3 linked regions of the Lonchura striata genome follow. The protein of the gene in region 1 binds, or shares a complex with, the protein of each later gene. Links are inferred from orthologs where the notes say so. Each region holds a gene or a part of one and is shown in the gene's direction. Other genes may lie near its edges.

Region 1 (7,270 bases):
TCTTACAATCCATCTTCCCACATGCTCCCACACAGCCAGCTGGCAGGGTCATCCTCCCAGAGCCAGGGTAGAGGGGTGCCATCCTGGACAGACAGATCATGAAGCAGCATGACCAGTGCATTCACTTGTTTGGAACTGCCCTCCCCTCCAAGCTTCTCCTCACAATTCCCCTGGGTCTCCATCCCAGACAGTACACCTGTACTTCCCATTTTCCCCCAAGACACACTCTGTGCTGCTTGCTGCCTACCCCAGGGAGAGAAGTCTCAGGCCAGTTGAGGGAGGGTGAAGTCCATGTGCAGGAAAGAAAACATGTAAAGACTTGGGCAACTGAGCTTTGCCTCAGAATTTTGACTCCGGACTTCAGAGATTCTCAAGGAGAGGGAAGAGCAGATGTGCAGAAAGAATGAAACCTAAAATCTGTTCTACCTCTAATCCCTCTGGATTCCACTTATTGGAATAGGGTTTGTCACGTACCCCTCAAAGTTTTGCCTGCTTGGGAAGGGCAACAGGAGGAAAAGAGTTTTCATTCATCATTTCATGTTGTGGCCAAAGTGGATTTTGCCTGCCTTAAGTGTTTGGATTACATTTTCTGAACAGTTTAATTCTCCTCTGTCTTACAGGTGACACCACAGGCAGCATTTGACTCCGGACCTAGACTGTGTTCACTTAACCAACTGAGAAGGAGCCAGGTAGCAGAACAAATGTCTGGTGTGCTGTGGTTGTCCAAAGCTATTTTCAGTGTTTGCTTCCTGTCCAGTTCAGGTCTGTGGTGCCAGGGTTTCTCTTTCCCAGTGTACAGTTTCAGGTGTATTCTCAGCTCTCAGTCTGCCTTACTTGTTTGGTTTTGCCCTCACTGTAAATCACACTGCTGCCACCCCCTCTGAGCTGAACACAAGTAAGAACTCCGCAAGCATTCCTTTCACGGACAAGTTCTCACATCTAAGCGTGGACTCTCTCCATCTGGTTCCAGCACAAACCTGATCACACAGAGTAGGACTGACAGAGTTCCCCACTAGTGCTGTTGATTTCTCCTTGACTGGCAGACATATGAATAGAGCTTGTGTCTGGTACTCCTATCCATGAGAAATTCTGGGAAGGCAATCACACTTGAGCCTCCCATATGCTTCTGATCCTAGACCCCCTTTAAAGCAAGGGCACACACATGTAGTTAAAGCTATAGCTATGGTGGAAAGCCCACGTGGTTGCACAATGACCACCTTATTCAGAGTGCCCAAAGGTTTTCTGAAGCAGGTCTTTGACAGTAGTAGGATTTATGGGATACAGGGCAATTCCAGTACCAACAAGTGACACAGCAGGGTGCTTTCTTCCTCGCCGAATCTTCACATCAGGCAGGCAGCCAGACTCCCAATTTTGATATGGGCCAATTCATTAAAATATTAATCTTCCACTGGGAAGTGAAGCATTCAGCAAAGATTGTTGCTATATCCTGCTCCACGCTGGCAGCTCCAAGCATCTCAGTTTAATTTTTCTGCAGGTTTTTTTTTCCTCCATGCACCTTCCCATCTCTAAGGGGTTTTGGAGGAGGGAAAAAACTGCAAATATTTTTATTTCTGTAGGCTCCAGAACAAAATCCCCTGACAATTGCAAAGTTTCAAACAAGATATCCCTCTCTCTGGAAGGTGGAAGGGGCTTTGACAGGCAGCAAAGGTCCACACATTTGCCTGTCTTGATTGCCATGAGAACAGATGCTATTTGTGTTACGTCAGCCCCAGCTCAGACTGTCAAACCCCAGCCAGAGTTGCCAAGTGTGAAATATTTCCTATGATACATGTTCAGTAGCCCTGTCAGGCTCTCCCTCAGCCTAGCTGGATTCCAGCATGTAAAAGATGTGCAACCTGTTAATGACTGTTGCTCACAGCCTCCAGCATTGCTTCCAGTGCATGTCAGATCACGGGGCTTCCCCACCTCTTTTCAACCCACAGAGCAACACTTGGAACAGAAAGTGAGTGGTCCAATACTGGAACCAGCAGGGACCCCTACATCCTTCTCCACTATTATTTCCAAGCACTAAGTTCACACTGTCAGCTTGTAAAAGAAAAGTCTGATCTCAGCCATTAGCAACATAACCTTGCATTTTTTACTATTGTATTTCATCCCATTTCTCCTGTATTAGCCTTCAAAATTGCCTACCCCCTCCTATAGGATATCCCAGTCCTCCCCTATACCGACAATGCCTCCAGTTTTGGATAAGCAGCCAATTTCATTAGCACATCCATTTTGGCGTGCCAAGATCATTAATAAAACCTGGGCCCAAGACCAGCCTCTGGGAAACTCTCGTAATTTCTTATAATTTCTGTACTTATCTCCATCTTAACTAATAAGTCACTATGCCACTATGCGGCACTGTAGCAAATGGATTACTGGAGTCCAAAGCAATCAGTTTGACTGCATTTAGTGTGACCTCCAACCTGGCAGCAAGGTAAAGGATATCCCAGTATGGAAAAGCATCCAAAATTCATTTCAGAAGTACCTGGGGAGCTCTAGAAACATCCATCCCAACCTACATAATAATATCCCATGGATACTTAATGTCAACAGTCAGAATTTGCATCTAACTTCAAGTTAAAATTTGACTGACATCATCTTGGATGCTACTAGATCTTGTTACATTTTGTCACCCCACCAGAGAATTCTTAATTCCTCTTCCCCAAGCAAAGCACAAGCAAACAGAGAGCAGCTCACCCTTACATCTCCTCAGAGCTGCACAAAATGGCTCACAGTGAATCCAGCACCCCCAGCTGCCCCATGGATTTCCCATCAACCTGTTCCACACTCCCTGTCTTGGGTGAGTCACTGTGCTGTGAGCTCGCAGCGCTCTCCCAGCCGAAGGCCCCCGAACATGCAGGTAAGAGAAGGCTCCCTTCAGCCGTGCCGGGGTTTCCAGATGCTTCCAGCTGCACTGCTGCCTGCTGTTGCTGGACACCACCGCTCCAAGGGGCCACATGCCCCGGAGCCCCACCTCTCCCAGAGCATAAAGATCCAGGACTTGCTTCCACATGCCACTCTGCCCGCAGCATGGCAGGAGCTGTCCCTGCCCCACTTTTCGAACGCACCGCCAGCCCAGCGGGCTGGCTGGCTCCTTCGGCAGCGCTGCCAGGGCTGCGAGCGGCTGCCATGGGTTGGGAAGGCACAAAGCCGCTGGCTCGGGGAGAAGGACTGCGTGCTGGGGACAGGGTCCAGGTGACGCCAAGAGAAAAGCTCTCGCTCGCTCCACGGACCGGGAGCCCTTCTCGGGTCTCCGGGGCAGCAGGCACGGGCCCGGCCCGCGGCACGGAGGCGGGAGGCCGGTGTTGCGAGTGGCCGCAGTGAGAGCACGGCCGGGAGAGACACCCTGCTAGGCCCGGGTTATGAATTACAGCCCCATCCCCGGCCGGTGCTTTGTCTCCCGCCTGTGGCCCCCTCCGAGGGCAGCGGATGCCCGACGCAGCCCCTTCACCGCAGCGAGGGCTGCCGTGACCGGGCACCCCGGAGCTCCGGGTGCCACCTGTCTTCGGTGCCGAGGCGCATCGCCCTGACCCTGCCGCCGCCGTGCATCGGCCCGCGGGTCCCGCCGCAGCCCCCCGCCCGCAGCGCGGCGGCCGAACCCCGCCGCTCGGCCCCTCCCTCCCTCGGAAAGAAACCACATCAGGAAAGTATTCGGGGTATTTTTAGCGGCTTTTAATGCGATTTCGCAGCTGGAAGCGGGAGGGGCCTCCCCGCGCCGCCCGGACCACCGCGAAGGGCCCGCCCGCCGCCGCGCGAGTGCCGCCAGCAGGGGGCGCCCGCGCGCCGCCGGCGGGGCGGTGCGGCGGCCACGTCGGAGGGCGCGCGGGGCCGCCCCGCGCCGAGGGGCCCGGGCTGCGCGGGGCGAGGCGGCCCCGGGCGGGCGCGGGGGGCGGCGGGGGCTGCGGAGGGGGGGAGCGGTGGGGGCTGTGCGGCTGCTGGAGCCATTAGCGCGGGGCTGGCGCAGCCGAAGGCCGGGCTTGGAGCTCCCTCCCCCGCCCGAGCCCCGTCCCGGGGACGTCATGGGAGGGAGGTATAAAATTTCAGCGTCGGGGCCGGGGGAGCGGCAGTGTGCGCGGGCGGGCCGGTGCGGAGCGGTGTCGGTGTACGGACCAGGGCACGGCGGTCAACGGAACCCACGGGCGCAGCGGACGGCCCGGTGGCAGCGCTCCCGGCTGGGCGAGAAGCGCCGCGGTGCCGCGCTCCCGGGCGCCGACGGCCGGGCACCGGGCGATGTAGGGCGCGGGGCCCGGCGGGGGCATGAATGGTGCAGCGAGAGGGGCGGGCGCGGCGCTCCCCCCGCGGCGGCGGGGCGGCGCGGGCCGCTGACACGTGCGGCGGCGCGGCGCGGCGGGGCGCCCCCTGCTCCGCGGGGCGCGGGGCGGCGCATGGGGAAGGAGCGCGGCGCGGCGAGGCACGGCGCTTGCCGCTTCTCCTTGCGGAGCGCTGCCAGCTCTTCCTGGAAGTCCTGAGTCGCGCACGGCGCAGTGAGTTCATGCACCTCCTCGCCAAGCCTCATCCTGCGGGTTCTGAGGAGGCTGCCGCCAGCAAACCGCCCGGTCCCCCGCGCCCTCTCGCCGCCGCTCGGGGGTCTCTCCCGGAGGCCCCCGCCGCCGCCCCCTCACACATGAAGATGTACGTGCAAAGGGCGCTGGTACTGCTCTCCCTGCTGAGCTTCGCTACCGTGAGCCTCTCGCTGTCGTCCTGCACCACCTTGGACCTGGATCACATCAAGAAGAAGAGGGTAGAGGCCATCCGAGGGCAGATCCTGAGCAAGCTGCGGCTCACCAGCCCGCCGGAGACCGTGGGGCCGGCCCATGTGCCCTACCAGATCCTGGCCCTCTATAACAGCACTCGGGAGCTGCTGGAGGAGATGGAGGAGGAGAAGGAAGAGAGCTGCTCTCAGGACAACACCGAGTCCGAATACTATGCCAAAGAGATTCATAAATTTGACATGATCCAGGGCCTCCCTGAGCACAGTAAGTGCGGGGCTCCCACCGTGCCGGTCGAGCTGCCGCGCCCGCGGGGCAGGCTGCCCGGGATCCCGGGCGCGGGGGCGGGACAGCCGGCTGGGGCCGAGGGGCGCCGGGCCCCCGCGGAAGGGGCCGCTTCCCCGGCGGGGCGGAGGCGGGCGGGGGGCGAGTCTCCTCCCGGCTGCGCTCGGGTACGGAGGTGAGCGGGAGCCGCGGGGCGGGGGGCGCTCGGGACGGCGGCGGGACGGCGCGGCGCTTGGCCGGCAGTGGGGACGGTGGGTGGCGGGGTCCGGGAGCGGCATCGACCCAGGCCCCGGCCGGCAGCGGAGAGCCCGTGCCTAGAGCCTTGACATCAGGACAGGGAGGGGAGGAGAAGCCCTGCGGGTGGCGGGCTGAATGCTGCGCACGGGGTGGGAGACGGCGCAGGTCTGGTGTTTGGGTGACAGCAGGTCGACGGCCTCCTCCTTGCTGAAGCTCCAGCGCCTGCCGCAGAAATGCAGGCTACTGTCCGGTCCGTGCAGCACCCGCGCGGCAGGAGAGAAGGTGGAGAGATACTTGCTAAAGTGACTGCTGCTTGGCGGACACTGATGAAGGTGTTACTCAGATAGTGTGAGCGTTCAGAGAGTGAGGAGAAGACAAGGATACTGAGCAGGTGTAAAGCAGTGATGCCAAAGGGACCCCCCAAGGGAACACAGGCATTGAGGAAACATGACAGATGTTGAGCAGGTGTGGAGCAGATGATGAGCAGGCCCAGATGTGGACACTAAACAGATTCAGGTGCAGAAGCTGAGCAGACAAAAAGACAGAGACTGAGCAGACATGAACTCAAAGCAGATTGCAGATGCTGAGCACATGTAGGCACAAGCAGTCATTTTGGCTTGTTTAGGATTCTTAGAATTGGAAGATGTAGTCATACCACTATCCAGGGTGTTCTCCTGTGAAGTTGTGCCATCCTGGGGACAAGGAGTTTTGGGGAGGAGCTGTGACTTGGTGGAGGCAGTCTCAGAATGCAGTTAATTCTGCCAGGTTTATGTTAATCTTGACATATGATGAGATGGAATAAGCTACAATGTGGTAATGTAACAAATTTTACTTAATCTCTAGCAGACTGCATTCCATATGGTTATATGATTAGCTCTTAGCTCAGGAGACACCCAAGATTCAAGGAACAGAAAGTGCAAAGGTTACCTGTATTTCAGCATTTTTGACCTACTGAAATGTCACTTGTGAAACTATAAACATATGGGAAAAACATGTGTCTGCAAAATAGTACAGCCACACTATACACTAGCATTTTTGGGGGGGAAGGAAGTGGGGAAAACGTAAAGCACAACAGTGGCAAATAAAGTTAGGGGTGTGGATTTGGCTAAAATTGAGAGGAAAGTGGAATGAAGAAATAGTGCATGAAAAGGAGTGATGAGTAGAGATTGTGGCTTTGGGAAAATTCCTGAGGAAATTAATGATCCTGTTCCATGTCCCCATAGGACACTGGGACAGTGGGTTCAAAAGACCAAGTAGTGCTGAGACTAAATTTCTGGGAGTGGGTAGTGTAGATGCTACCACCCAGAGAAAGAGGGAACTTTGTAATTTGGTCACTCTAGGGGAGACTAGCTCCAGAGATATTGTGGTGGCAAGAGACACACTCTTTTTTTTTTTTTTTTTTTTTTTGAAACCTGGGGAGTTTCATTGCTTACACCATGGCTGAATTTGGCCCCACATCTTCAGAAGTGGCTGCTGTTCAACTTTCCCATGACTCTGTCACTGTGCCATGTGGTGATCTAAGAGCATGTTCTGAGCCAAAGCCAGTCTCCTGGGGGGGCAGGGGGGGCAGGGGAGGACTACTCCATTGAAGGAACTGCAGTGATGACACAGACAAATCTGAAATGTGTGCACTCACACAAACTGTTCTAGCTCCAGACTATTAGTCAAGTGTCATATTGGCTCAGAGAACCCATACTTTTCAAAGATGCAAAGCCCAAAAGTGAGAAAAGCTGAGGAGCAAAAATAGCAGGCAGGAGAGCCAAGTTCTCCATCCCTTTTCTGAGCTGCTTGGTGACTCATGGAATGGTCTCTTTCCCTGTGCCTCTCAGGTACATTGCCTGAATTAAAAGTTTTTTTTTTCAGAGAATAAATTACTTTTGACCAACCATTCACGTCAGGGATCTCATAAAACTCATGTGGATCAGACCTCACTTGGTTATGTTCAAGCTTGGGAAGCATCTGCAACAGTCCTGCAAAAAAGTCCTTTGCTTACCTTCCTGAAGGAAAAACAGATGCCATTTTCCAAGGCAGCT
Region 2 (6,939 bases), on another chromosome or scaffold:
GTTATAGTTAACATTCATTGCAGATGCAATATTTTCCTGAAAAAGCTGTTTCCTGAAAAAAGAGACTATGCACCAACAATGTGACAGACAATTGCATTTTGTTTCAATAAAGCAAATGTAAAATACTGGTAGGAAGCCACAGTTATAACACTTCAAGAAATTTGGGATACATGTAATATAATAACACACTTTCCACCACAAAAATTTGTGGAATAACTTATGCTGGAAAAAGTCCCCTGAGGCCCAACCATCCCTCTGCTCAAAACAGGTTCAGTTAGTTCAGTCTGCTTAGGAACATGTTCAGCTAAGTTTTAACTCTCTCCAAGGACAGAGATGCCACAAACACATTGCTTCAAGGTTTCACTGCCCTGTGGATAGGACAATGGATTGAGACTTTAAATCCATTTCTAGTGGTGTTAAATTACTTGTTATGGGAGTTTAAGAGTTACTTACTCTCATATGTGACCTTGGATGATTCAGTTTCTCTGCAAGCCTAGAATTATTATTCAAAACTCCTGCCTAATTGTATTATCGCATTATAAACACTGTCTAAATAACAATATATTCAAAGATGCTATCACTGCAAAGTAAATGTTTTTAAGTCCTTGGATTCCACCATGGGACGAATGAAGCTAAAGAAATATGGCATTTTACATAAACCAGCAGACTATACTTTAAACTCCTACAGCAGCCTCTATACATTGAGGCCTAAACCATTTATATCTTCAGTTCTGGACTTTTTATTGGTGACTTTATTCAGGGTTCATAGTTCTCACCCAACAATGGCATCCTTTTCATTATGTTTTCAGGGTTTAAGTTAATGACCAGAGTGGTTTCATTTTGGTAACCCTATTATCAGATTTTATATGAAAATTATCCATTTTTATTCTTCCACATTAAACTGCAGGTATTGTCTTTCTGCCCAGAATACCAAATTCTTGCATTATGTTCTCAGCAGAAATAATGCATGGAATGACTGATTCCTACCTGTATGATGAACAGCCTTTGCTTAGAAATTCAGAAGATAATTCATGCTGTTGAGGACATAGCCATTTTCTTTACACTGCTTATGATAATTTATATTCTGTCTAATAGTGTCATACACAATATATCTGTATGGGATATCAACTGTATTGTTCTTCCCATTAGCACCATTTAGACCATGCAGGTGAAAAATCCAAAATAGGGAGATCCCAGTTTCTGTCACTTTTGCTTCTGCTGGCAATTTGTTTAAAGCTATTTCCTTGAATTTCTTGATGTATCATCTGAATTCTTTTTTTCCAGATAGATTTGAATCACCATAAATTTGCAGCATCATGATCTATAAACATTACAAGACCCAACAGGAGTAAATTGAGTTTAGTTCACTCGTCACCAGTCTATCTTATTTCAAATAGTACCCAATGAGTTCTCAAGGGACCTGTAGCTATCCACCTACAGTGTTTGAGATTGTGATCTCTGAAATCATAGAGCTTTTAGGTTAAGAATGCCACAATATTTGAAATCCTGCAGATACTACACTTCTTTCTGAATGTCATTGCATACGGCTTTCTCACATCCCATATCCCCATTTGGGCTATGACCACTCAAGGAATGACAGTCAGATGTCTGAAATGGGGGATTTTTCCAAAATGAAGCAAAAAAGATGATACATCATTTAAAAACTCCAGAGTGGGACCACGAGATTGCTTCATTGCCAGCCCTTCCTCAGCACTCTTGAACAAACTCACCGTGCTCAGCTTCTGACCTCTGACATTCAGATGCTAAATCATCCATAACTTCTCAAGGCTTAGCAAGGGATCTGAAAAGGCTTCCGCAGCCCTTCATTCGTAGACAGTGAAACAGTACATTATTTACACTGGTTGCATTTGCAGGATTTATAAACGTACCCTGCACAGACAGGCTTGGATGCAGCACAGAGATCCGCCTAGGATCCTGCGCGCAGTCATCTGTTGTCGGTATCAGAAAGGAAGGATGCCACACGGCTGGCCACCAGGGACCCGAGGTCGGCACACCTACCCCGTAACGCAGCCGGGCGGAGGCCCGGCCACCGTCGTGTGACAGGGCGAGGTGCCCAGGTGGGTTTTACCTGCCGGGAAAACGCCTCCACCCACAGGCTCCGCGGGGAGCACAGGGACGGGAGCTGCAGGGAGCTCCTCCGTGGAGCGGAGCGGGGCCGGGCGAGGCGGCGGCCGAGGTCGCACCTTGGCCCGGTGGGGCTTTCCTGGCCCGCACGGCGCGGTACTTTCCGGACACGGTTAACCTTTGCGTTACACCCACTGCGCCCGGAGGGGTGGAAACTCCGGGGAGAAACGATTCGGGGAGGGCGGTAAAGGAGGAGAGGTGGTTTTAGGTAGCGAAGATTTGCCGGCCCGCACCAGGGGCCGGCGCGCTCCTGCAAGCGGGACGCCCCGGGAAAGCGGCGGCGTTCCCGGGCCGGTGGGCAGCGCCCGGGTTAGGGAGGCGCTGCCGGCGAGGGTCGCACAAGCGAGCGGCGGCGGGGTCACACGCAGCGAGGGCCGGCCCAGCCGGCGGGGCGGGGCGGAGCGGCCGCCGCAGGGCCAAAGCGGCGGGCGAGGTGCGGCGGGGGCCGGCGGCGCAGCGCTCTGCCCGCGGCCTTCGTCCGCCTCCGCGGCCGGGGGCAGCGGCCGTGCCGAGCTCGGGCGGCCGCGACCGAAGCCGCCGGCGAACAAAGGCGCGGGCGGCCACAGTGACTTCACCGCCGGGCCCGCCCCCGCACTCCCGCTCGCGGAACCTGCCCCGCTGCCGTCTCCTGGCAACCTGCGGGGACCCGCACTCTCCGCGCTGGGGCCGGGCAGCGCCGCCGGCCGCGGTCTCCTGCCGTCCCCTCGCCGTCCTCAGCAGACCCCGTACCCCCGGCGCCGAGAGGCGGCCCCGGCGGCGCCTCGGGACGGCGGCGGGCAGCGCCCACCTGCCCCCGGCGGGGGCGGGCAGGGGGCGGCCGTCCCCGCCCCCCGGCAGCCGCCCTCTTCGCCCGAGGGAGGTGCGGAGCTGCCGCCGCCGCCGCCGCTCCCCGCGCGGTGCCAGGAGCCTCCCCGCACCCCCCAGGCAGGGCGGGCGGCGACGCGCCCCTGGCCGCCGGGCTGGAAGCGAATGGAGGGAACCAAGCTCCGCGCTTAGCCGGGGCCCCTCTGCCGCCGGGGGGGGGCCGGTCCTGGCGGGGCGCGGAGGCGCGGCAGGCGCTGCCCCCGAGATGCGGCGGCCCCCGCCCGCCCCTCCGAGCGCCCTACCTGTGCCGGGCCCGCCGCCGCCCCTCCCCCGGCCCCGCCGCCGCCGCCGCCCCCGCGGGGGCCGGGACTGAGCGCGCCGCGGCGCCGAGACACGGCCCCGAGAAGAGGGCGAGGGAGCGGGAGCGGTGCCGGCCGCGGCGCATGATGTGGGTGCCGCTGCTGGCGTGCCTCACCGCGGGGATCGTCTCCGTGCCCAGGTGCCAGCGCGGCCCCGGAGCCTTCCTCGGGGCGGCCTGGCTGCTGGCGGCCGTGCCGGGACTCTGCCAGCGCTGTAAGTGTCCGAGCGCCTGGGACTGCTGCCCCGGCTGGCGGGGGCTGTGGCCGGGTTTGGTTCTGGCGCGGGGTCGTGCGAGGGCGGGGGGCTTGCCCGGGCCCGGCCGCTGCCCTGGGGCGCAGCGCTGACAGCGGGACCGGCCGGCGCCACCGGCACTCGTCGGCCGGGCGGGCCGAGCTGGCGGGCGCACGGTACCTGCAGGGAGAGCCGGGCTGGAGCGGTGTCCAAGCCTCACACCGCCAGGGCCAGCCCGTGATTTCACTGCCCACGCCGGGGGCGTCCCGCCTTTAGGGAGCCATGGGGAGCCGGCGGGACTGTCGCACTCCAGGGTGCTGCGGGTCCTGAAGTGCACCCTCCGCAACACTCCGTGGAGCGGCACGCGGACCCCAGCCAGGGATGACCGGTTCTTGGGGATGGTAACACTCTGTTTTACGTCGTTCATGTGGCACGCAGTGGCAGGGTTAAATAGGGATAGAGCTACGAGAAGATTGTCTTCTGTTTACCTCGGGATAACGTGCATGTTGGCAGTTCCCTGGGAGCTATGGTTCTCGGGTGAAAAAGACTCAGGTAAATGTGGGTAACTCCTCACGTTGTGGAATTGCTTCCCAAGGCCCCCAGTATCATTTTTAATGTGTGCTGGCTGAGGGGAGCTTGTGCAAATGTACCTTAGATGGTGCAGCAGTTGACAGAGCAAGCAGGTTAGTCAATTCATAAAGGATCTTATTTAGCTAGCAGTGATCATAAAAGCAGATCTGGTTGTCAGTCATCTTTCTGTATTTTCTTATGCTTGTGGAATAATTGGCATTTCCCAGTTTAAGCCTGGAGCTGATTTAAAATGTTAACATGTAACCTCTGAAACTGAGATTTACAATGGGAACAATGTATTAGTCTTAGATTCTTTATTGCAAAGGAGACAAATTCATGCCTAATTCAGTAGGATTTGCCCAGCACTATTAAAAACAATGGAATAATTTGTTAACTTTCATAGGATAATTTATTTTACTTTTTTGGCTTCGTACTTTGAATTCAGAACCAAAGTAATGTCAATAGGAAAAATAAAATATATTATTAAATTTCTTATGAACCATGACATCTTGTATGTGGTATCCCAGATTTTTTTTATACAGTGCAATTGAGTTGAAATGCTAATTGAAACTTTATGAAAAGGATGGTTCTGTGCCTGAATGTAGTGTTGTGCTTGCTTATGAGTGTAGTTCCTGGGTACACACTACTGCAAGTAATGCAACAGAACAGAATGCCACAGGGGGGAGGTTGTGCATGGAGCTTTTGTGCCAAAGGATGCTTGCTGTCTTTGTTGTGCTTCATAGTGAAAATATATATGGGCAATACGTCATGGGTTATGTGTTTATTGTGACAACAGCTCTCAGATTGGGCAGACTGTAACTCACATAGACCTTGTTTTTTCCTTTTCATTTGAAACCTCTGCTAATTCATGAAAGCTGAAAAGAACACTGAATTCTTTCCTTCATACATAATCACTTTGCAGGCTACAGCCGCAGTTGAATCAAGAAGAATGTTTTGCTTTGTTTTTCTGTGAATGAACACATGAAATTTTTTGTTATTATTAATATTGTTAGTGATTTTTACATTTAGTTGTGATAGCCAGTGCAACACCACCTGGATTCTTTGAATGTCTGCAGGCTGCTTTGAGAGACAGTGGGCAGCAGCTCCATGTACAGATATTTGGCAGCATGGTTTTGTTCACACAGCCATTCCTCTTTGCTTCTGCATTGACAGTGCTGGGCATGGAGAAAAGCATCTTGCTGTTCCTGTGCCATCATCAAGTCCAATTTATTTATGTGCAGAGTTGGCAGAACCTGCATATCTGTTGAACTGAATCTCCAGTTCTGAAAGAGACTGGAATTAATATGAACTGTACATAGAATTCAAATTTATTTAATTCTTGTTGGAGCATTTATGGCTCTTCTAATTGAAACATTAAGAGCTTGATACTACCTGAGATATTTGTTCTTCAAGCTGCAGTTTGAGATGTGAGTCATTGCTTGGGGATAAGTAAAGGTAGAATTTGGCATAGGGTTTGAAGTTACAAGGAGCGCAAAAGGAAATCTCACAATGATGTAAATTTGTAATTCCCAAATTATGGGTTCTGTAAGCTCAAATAAAAAGAGTAGTGTTGCTGCCTTCTACAAAGGGTCCCTTGTTCAATAAGTCTCACCAAAAGGAAATTTGCAGTTCAGTAAGCCAATTATAACAAATACCTGACATAAGATTCAAGCTAGTTCTGTAGGGATTTCTACAGATCCCTGCATTTATGTTTGAACATTAAAGCTGACAAACTCCTAAAGATGTAAACCAGTGAACTGAATAAAAGCTGGATTCTACAGCAAGAGCATGTGTATGCATTGCACTAACCAATTGAGTAAGTGCTCACTTCAGTGAAGACAATTCTCTTGCCCTGTTCAGAAACCAACTGCTGAAACTCTTATTTTTTACCTGCTGTATCAGCACATGGGTTATATGGGGCTTAAGTACTGAAGAATGACTGATTGGTCAGGCTTAACATAGGACATTGATTAAGATCTCTGCAGTGTCCCAAGACCAGTTATAATATTAAAATCAGAAAACTAAGGTATTTGGTGCTTTCCAAAATACCCAGGGAGTAATTCCTCTATGAAGCTCAGGTAAACAGAATGTACTTGAGGTGTGCAAACAGGGATGAGATGGAATGAAAATCTTTATCTCTGAACAAAAGTTGGAGAACAGTCACACAGCAATTCTTTTAAATAGTTGTGATTGACAGGTCTCTTTAAATACCAGCTTTAAAAGTATTTTCAGTCTTCTTGAGAGTGTCATTTGGAAAGACCACTGGAGAATCATCATGAAGGGGTCAGTTGTTAATTGATTTGTGCCAATAGCATGACTTTTGATTCATTAATTTTCTCCCATCAAGGTCTTTGGTGCTTCACCAGTCTTGTCACATCAGATTTCCATGTGATCCCTCTAGTAAGAAAGTTTTATAAACCATTACTCATGCTACTTCTCAAAGGAATAAGGAAAGCTATTCAAACCACCCATGGAAGATTTTGAAGAGAAGTGATGGGAAATATGCCATGATACACACACAAACACACAAAAAAGTCTGAAATAAAAGATACATCATGATAGCTTTAATTGGTGTTTATCTGTTAATTCTCTTGCGCACCCATGCAGTGCATTTTCTATTGAGACTCAGTGGAAGAAGCTGAGCTGTATGGGATACCCAGCACTGAGTCAATTGAGCTTTTCCTGAGGCTTAAAACAATCCAAGGAAAAGAGAAAATCCAGTTTTCATTTCCTGAGTCTGCGTGGGCGATCTGCACCCTCGGGCTAATGGACCATCTTTGGGAAAGCCAACCTTTTTGGAACCTTTGGGGTAAAACAACCTGGGTGTTT
Region 3 (7,444 bases), on another chromosome or scaffold:
TTCCTCTCTTCTGTGTGATTCTCCATCTCCTGTGACCCTCCAGAAGAGGCTAAAAACACCCCCACTCTTCTTCCAAAACTGCACTCCATCGTGTGTAGCCATGCTGGCAAACAGCACCTGGAGGTTAGGAGAGACCAAATCTCCCTGGGCTCTGTGGCAGTGTTTTGGTCATAGGCCCCTAATGGAATATGGTATTAGCACACCCCAAAACACAGGAGCTGGAATGAACCAGCTCCATCACAGTATGTTCAGAACTTTCCTTTCAGCAAGCTCCAGGTCACCCATAGAGGACTCAAAAGCTTACAGCAGTTTCTTTGAATGTATGTAATTTTCTGTTGGAGCAATACCCATGTCCCACCATGATGATTAATAAAGAAAGAGAGAGCAGATGTATCAACTGAAAAAAAAAAAAAAAAAGGCAGCAAAATAATTAAAGAAGCAAAAGTTTCAGATTTTGCTGATTTGTTACTTTCACCTTCACTGTGAATTTCCCCATTAAATACAACTGTTTGTTAGGGATTGTTGCTTCCTCTTGAAATGTTTTTGCCAGCTCTCCCTAAAGCATTGTCAGATCTGTACTGCAGCAGAGACAGAGACAAGACAGTCCTTGCAGTGTCTGTGCAGTATTTGTGTGTGGTTTCTGTCTGTGCTGGACTGACCTGTGTGCAGAACTCTCACACCACTGTGTGGATATTCACATCATCTCTAGCTCCCTAAAGATGAACCAAAATTTCAAGCTTAGAGACTTTTTTCAGCCTTCATTGTTCAGCTAACTCACAGGCATCCTCTGAAACATTTGCCATTGCTGTACTTTGGAACTGGGTCTTATCAGACTGCTGGGGCATATATTTCTGTGCAGATTTTCCAAGGAAAAATGCTTTCCACTTCTGCTGGCCCAAGAGTATGGAAGCACTTGACTATGCAGCTATGGAACATTTGTCTTCTTTGTGAGAGAAGTGTTTTAATCCGTAGACTTTTGTAGAATCTTCACTTACTTCCTTTCAGGTTAAAAAGTTTGACTGAAGTATTAAAGTCTACTTTCATTCCCTGCTAGAGATCGTCAGGAGCTTTGAGGATTTGACTGGGAAGTCAACCAGACAGAGAATAAAGTCACCAGATGATTCAAGTACAAAGCAACATGCCTCTGGCCTAAGGAGTGCAGCCCTTTGCCTCTTCCAGATGCAGTGAGGAGTAGGAATAGGGTGGAGAGAAGGGAGACTCTGCCTCACAAACTTGAGAAAGCTTTTCTCAAGCACAAGAAGTGTCTCCCTGCACCTTTGTAAATATTGAGAATCATCTCAGCTGGGGGACACTCAGACTTTAAATGGTTCCATATTTTTCCAGGCTTTCAGGATGTGTATAACTAGATTGCTGGGAATCAAGAGCTGGCTTATGTGTGAAGCTGAGAGGTCAGGGCTATATTTGTGCCCGGAATGGAGGGAAGACTTGCATTGTTCAGCACTGCCTACACTGAATGATAAACTGTTTTCTTTTCTGATGTGTCATTTAAAAACTCTAACTCTGATTTAATAGAGACCAGAATTTCCTCCAAAATAATATAGTGGCTGACGGAAACAATCATAATTGTGTTCTTTCTCTACTGTAAACTTCCTTTTTGTTCTATCTCATAGAATCAATGCTTTTAATTTGGGTGGGTGATGCGAGACTGTATTAAAAACCTTATGAAGAATGGGAACCCTGTTGCCAAATCAAGTAATACCATGACCCCAGAGCATTTTATACATCCTTCCCACATCAGCATGGCTACTCCAGATTGAGATTCTACTCTTCTAGTGATGATTAAAGCAAATAAAGCATTTATCTAGTAGAGGAACTTCCTGGTCAACTTACCTTTAGTTTGCACAGGTGGTGTTTCAAAACAAGAATCATATGTCTGCTTCCTGTTTAGGTATTCTTACCTTGCCCAAGGTTTACTCTTGGTGCACACTGTCTCTCTTTCAGGACCTCTCTTAGGCTCCTGCTCTCAATTTTTTTTTCCTTGTCTGTTTCTGTTGTTGTTTATTCTCCTACTTTCTTTTCCTTCGCTGCTTTCTCCAGACAATCCACGGTGATCTAATAGATCTATTAATAATCTAATATATTCCTAATAATTTGCAGAAACTTAGCTATTTTATTCAGCAAAGGCTTAATTCAGATAGTCTGGCAGTCACCTCACTCAGAGGCAGGCACTTAGCTTCCGGCCATGCTATTCTTGCCAAGACCTATGCAAAATATTAACCTCACAAGCAAATGGAGAACTGATAATATCAAATAGAATTTGTAAGTTTTATATAGGATATATTACTAATTCTCTCTACACTTCAAAGTTTGATATCTTCAATCCAAGAATAAGCATTTGCTAATTGCCAGCTGTTCAGCTGACTGGTCCTTAGTTTGAGACCCTGCAGGTGTTGCTATCTTGTGGTGGCTGCAGCGCTGCCACCAAGCCCTGTGCTTTGAAGTGTTGCTGTTCCCAGGGGCCAGTAGCCCATCAGAGCTACAAGGTGACCTACACTGAAAGAGAAAGCACTGGGTTTTGGGGGTCTGCAAGGCTGTGGACATAGTAACAATCTTGAAGGACACATAGAGAAATGTCAGTCAGAGCCAGGGAAGTAGGATATTTGAGTAGCATATTACAGGGGGATGTTTCTCTTAGCAAGAGCAAACACTTTTGGTTTATTCCACTTCTTTTTGACCTTATGTAATTACATAGAGTGTTCTCATAGAGTTGTGTCTTCACCAACTGAGGGAACATAATCTAATCGATGTTTTTTTCATGCCACAGAAAATCACTGTAGCTGAGCAAGTGCCTTACAAAGGGCACTCTGAGGCATAGAGAGCAGTTGAAGGAGATTTAGGAATGTTGTAAATAGAAATGTTAAGATACGGTTTGGCAACAGCCTAAACTGGGCTAAATTTGGCCTAACAAATTCTCACCTTTCCTGTCAGTTCTGCCTTGAACTCTGGACTGGGCAGCCACAGGGTTTAAGGGACAAAACCAGATGAAAACCAGCCCTCCACCTTTCCCACAGAAGGTGATTGGGTTTGGTTGGATCAGTTTGAAACGCGGCGTGTTTGGGCATGAACGATGAGTAATAAAGAGGGTGGGAACACAAGGGCAGAGCAAAGGTAGTCCTGATGTAATCCAGGGTGAGTTGCTATTGAAATTACCCATAGTCTGTGTAAACACTAGTAAAATTGGATGTGCCTGGGAATATTTCCAAGCACTAGAATGAGATTGTCTGTGCTATTAGACTGTTAAAAAGCTCCCTGGCATGAATTTGACCTCTTCCAATCAATGCTCACTGCAAACAATTTCTGGGCACAATTTGGTTGCTAGAATTGGCCCAATAGGTACTTTGCAATCATAAACTCAGGTCTTTCTGTGCCAGTTGGCCCCAGTGCCCAGGAATGTTTTGGGCATGTTGAATTTAACTAATACAGACCCATCCCTACTTTGACTATTGCAAATCTTTATGAAAAGACAGGACTCGTCTTGAAAAAATGTTTTTTAAAACAGGCAATAACAGAGTATAAAAGATGGGAAGACATAAAATCTGGAAATAAGGAATTTTATTTTCTTTTAATAAGGTGGTAAGAAATACATATTTTGCCTTCATTTCAGGTTGGGAAGGTGGATGAGAGATAGCAATAACTTGTTATGCAATTGTTTCTGTGCTGTAGAATATTCAGCTGCTTATTAGGCAGAGTTAAGGCTACATGATTCTTTTTTCAAGTCAGTTGCTGTACTGGGAATAAAATTATTCCTCCTTCTATATATTAAAAGAATCTACAACTCCAGCATTTTCCTTTCCGTTTGGAATGTAAAAAAAAAAAAATCAATGTACTTGGTATCTTGCAGTACTGAAGCAAAGTCCTAAATTTTAATCTGCGATTAGTTTGGGTTTTTTCCCTTCACAGTTGCCTTTATGAGTTTCCCTCCACATCAGGAAATCTGAAAAAGTGGGATTTTTTTCTTCTCTCCAGGTATATACTCGGCAATCTTAATGATCCATTTTCCCTCGGGGCACAATTAAAGGTGTTCTTTTGAAGGAGCTTTAGAAGGGCTGTTGTACAGTGCAAACACGGTCTCTTGGCTGGGTTGCTCTAGGACCCAGAGTGACTGGGACTGACAGGAATCTTCACCTGAATGAATTTTCCCCGTATGCCTTATAAGGAGCCCAGGAAAACAAGGAAGTGATAACCATGTTCACGTTACTGTGTGCACAGCTTGTCCTCTCTACCTGCCCAGGTAGCCCTTGTTTTCACTTTTGTTCATGGTCCGTCCCGCTGGGTTGCAGCTTCCTCGCGATCCGGTGTACGTGACATCCCAAAACATACCCTTCGGGAATGCATGCTTTTTACGACATTCTACCTTCATGCAGACGATAATTAACAAGCTAATATTTTTTTGTCATGCAGCCAGCACTGAAAACGAATGGGGATTGAATTGCTTTGCCTCTGTTTCCTATTCCTGCTAAGAAATAACTATGTGCAAGGTAAGGCTCAGGGGCAGGGAGATCAATTTCAAAATCATTTTGCATTGTTTCTTGCTTGAAGTTGACACGAAATAGCTCTCTGCCTTCTGTATTTAATCTTTCTATTTAATGACCTTTTTTGGATAGACTGCTGTAGGGCTGCATTGCCAATTCATCTACAATTTGGTGGTCATTATATAGCGCAACAGGTTTGAAAGAGATAGACATTTGAGCAATTTCATTTTCACTAATCACAGTTTGATCTGTTAAGAATCTTTCATATTATACATATGGCTGAGTATTTCTCTGGTAGTTACACAATGGAGAAAAATCATATCAAGCATCTACGGAGCTGAGTGAAGCAATATTAAGCATAGAGAGTGAGCATAAATCTGTTCTTTTAATATCCCTGGTTATGTGGGAAATGACTTACCTACACCATACCAGAAATACATGTAACACTCTCTCAGGTGCACTGGAGGGAACAAGGTAACATGTTCTAAGTGAATGCCACCCATAAAGCATGCAAAAGGAGGTATGTTAATTGCCAGCAATTCTAAGGCTTTAATCTTTATTGTAGAGTTAATCTTTTACCAATAGAACTACTGTTAAGAAGAAATTTTATCAGTAATCCTAAATATGGCTATATATGTGTATTTTTCACCACCCACATTCTCTAGATGGCATGTTTCTTCATAAATTGAATGATTCAGCATATTATTAACAGTCTTTTATCTTCTTGGATTTAAATTCAGGGACCTGTTCTCAGGAAAGCACAGTGACTTGTGAAGATTGTTTGCTTTCCGGACCACACTGCGCTTGGTGTTTGCAAGAGGTAGAGTGATAAAAAAAAAAAATTCAAAGTAAGACTTAAGTCTTTGTAGTCACTCCAAGTGATGAAGTATTGACTTAATTGGGTCAGCCCAGGGTTTTGTAATGCATGCAGTGCTTAGTGAAGCCTTCTTGGGGAGCAGAAGTGGAATTTAATCTACTCTCCATGGTCTGTTATTCACAGTATGGTTGTTAGGATGATTGTTTATTTGTTTGTTTTCTTGTTTGAAAAAACCCACGAAAACATCAACCTTTCAAATCTAAGGCAGAAATAGAAATGTTATTAGGGGGTCTCAGGTCGTCAGCTCAAGGGCTGACTCACCCCCAGCACTGATGATGAAGCACCAGACACAAAGTCAGAGGCCAAACTGTATCTGACAGATTACATGCCAAGCCAGACAGTGCAAGCAGAAGGTTTGCAGGTATCAAGAGTATAAAAGTTTGCAGATGTAGAACTTCCATATAGAAATTATAAAACTGTGATTAATTTTAAGTATGACAATAATGTCGGATTTATAATTCATATGATATAGATATGTTTTGGCTAAAGCATTTAACTTAAAAAGTATATCTGGATTTGTTTCTTATGGCTTTGTTTCAGATTTTCAGTGCAACCCTGGGGAAGTGACTTCACATTTCTGCTTTTAAAACTTTCTTCTGTAAATGGTGCTAAATAAAATCTCCCCACTTCACAATAAATATTCTAGCTCTTAGTTCATCATCATTAACAAGATAGTCAGCTATTGCAACAGAAACTTGACAGAAATGCTAGAGAAATAAAGTATTTTTCATTTTTGTTTCTGGATTGCACCTTTGCTGCTAACAGCTTTTATTGTTTTTGTGTATAGCAAAATGACACAGTATGGGACTAAAACACTCTTTATGAAATAGCTCAGAAAGAAAAAACTGCATTTCATTTAAAAATTCTAAAAATATATATTTTGCAATTTGCAAAATATATTAACCATTGAGGTCAAAAAGACCCCACATTAGTGTGTTTGCAGTTGTTTTTATATCTGTACTATAAAACAGGATTTTGTTGAAATTGGATCCCATAATTTTGACTACTGCCATGTATTTTCAGAGAAAAAAGAGCCCAATATAATTTATTGATTCAAAAAAACCCAAAACCAAACCAAAAAAAAACCCTGTGGAACTATTGAAAAGTTCACTGTAGTAAACATGCTTTTTCTTCTTTGTTCATAAGCTCATTCATTTCTTTGTTAGAAAACAGCACATAAAGCATGCAAAAGGCATAGGAGCTTTAGTATCCAAGCATACAAAAGCACCTCTAAGGAAACCACTGTTTTCTGTAGGATAAGAACACACTTTGTAATTGTATTTGAAATATGAGGTTGTCTCTTCACACATTTTGAAAAGTTACAAACTGTGTAACTAAAGGAGACGATATGGATCTCCCTGTGAAAGGTTTATAATGGTACGTGTAATTTATGTGTGCTGTATTCAAGAAGCAGTGGGTGAGTTTTGCCTGAGCAAAGGCATCTGGTTCAGGCTGGAGAATAATAAACCACTGTTCCCAACAGGTGCCTCAACACTTCCACCAAAATATATAAGATGCCTGAAAATTTTCAGGCATGAAGGGTGATATTTTGGTGGGAAAAAAAGGGTCATAGGTCTGTTTTTAGTAGGTTTAAAGTAAATTTGTTTTGTTTTGCATGGAAAGTTTTTCAGCAACTGAATTCAGAGAATATTTGTGGCTTAATGGCTGATCCATGGGTTGCTTGCCCAGACCTAGGAGAAAAGAGCAGATGCATGGTATGGGCCCATGACTATCCACCAGAAATTTAATGTTTCAGATCTGATTCTGCCAGACATTGCCCAGGCTTTGGTCAAAAGGTCTTGCAGGCCAGAGCAGTTTCCAGGAGACAGCTGACTGATCTTGAGAATCTTGACTCTAGACAAAACTCTGGGAAATAAGGCACAGAAATAAGGTAATAAGGCACAGAAACCTCTTTGTAAAAGTAACCATTAACTTCAGCACCATGTGAGGTTAGTACCTACCCTGTAGCAGTGCTGTGGAAAGGAATGCATATCAATGCTTTGAACTGAGTAATGACAATAAACTTTGAGATATACAATTGATATTTATAGGCTTTTGATTTCCTCTGTCTGGT

What was found. The genes of interacting proteins can lie anywhere in the genome.
Region 2: the proteins of TGFB3 (region 1) and ITGB8 are in contact, whole or in part, in a cryo-EM structure (PDB 8VS6), measured with the Homo sapiens proteins. The link is inferred for Lonchura striata from reciprocal best matches to the Homo sapiens genes TGFB3 and ITGB8. Residues at the interface, in NP_001316868.1 of Homo sapiens: Gly262, Asp263, Leu264, Arg266, Leu267, Lys268; in NP_002205.1 of Homo sapiens: Ser156, Ala157, Ser158, Asn161, Arg206, Gln210, Cys211, Tyr214, Leu216, Ser247, Gly248, Asn249, Ile250, Asp251, Thr252, Glu254.
Region 3: the proteins of TGFB3 (region 1) and ITGB6 are in contact, whole or in part, in a crystal structure (PDB 4UM9), measured with the Homo sapiens proteins. The link is inferred for Lonchura striata from reciprocal best matches to the Homo sapiens genes TGFB3 and ITGB6. Residues at the interface, in NP_001316868.1 of Homo sapiens: His259, Gly262, Asp263, Leu264, Arg266, Leu267, Lys268; in NP_000879.2 of Homo sapiens: Ser142, Ala143, Ser144, Asp147, Pro196, Cys197, Ser199, Ile200, Tyr202, Cys204, Ala234, Asn235, Ile236, Asp237, Thr238, Glu240, Asp271, Lys355.

Annotation. Positions count from the first base shown.
Region 1 is NC_134608.1:22,830,459-22,837,728, forward strand, and holds the start of TGFB3 (transforming growth factor beta-3 proprotein), read left to right. Parts: upstream 1-4,267; coding exon 4,268-4,982; intron 4,983-7,270. UniProt on the Homo sapiens protein: Transforming growth factor beta-3 proprotein: Precursor of the Latency-associated peptide (LAP) and Transforming growth factor beta-3 (TGF-beta-3) chains, which constitute the regulatory and active subunit of TGF-beta-3, respectively.
Region 2 is NC_134603.1:126,141,083-126,148,021, reverse strand, and holds the start of ITGB8 (integrin beta-8), read left to right. Parts: upstream 1-3,933; 5' UTR 3,934-3,938; coding exon 3,939-4,092; intron 4,093-6,939. UniProt on the Homo sapiens protein: Integrin alpha-V:beta-8 (ITGAV:ITGB8) is a receptor for fibronectin. It recognizes the sequence R-G-D in its ligands.
Region 3 is NC_134610.1:16,545,775-16,553,218, reverse strand, and holds the start of ITGB6 (integrin beta-6), read left to right. Parts: upstream 1-4,438; coding exon 4,439-4,499; intron 4,500-5,233; coding exon 5,234-5,313; intron 5,314-7,444. UniProt on the Homo sapiens protein: Integrin alpha-V:beta-6 (ITGAV:ITGB6) is a receptor for fibronectin and cytotactin. It recognizes the sequence R-G-D in its ligands. Internalization of integrin alpha-V/beta-6 via clathrin-mediated endocytosis promotes carcinoma cell invasion.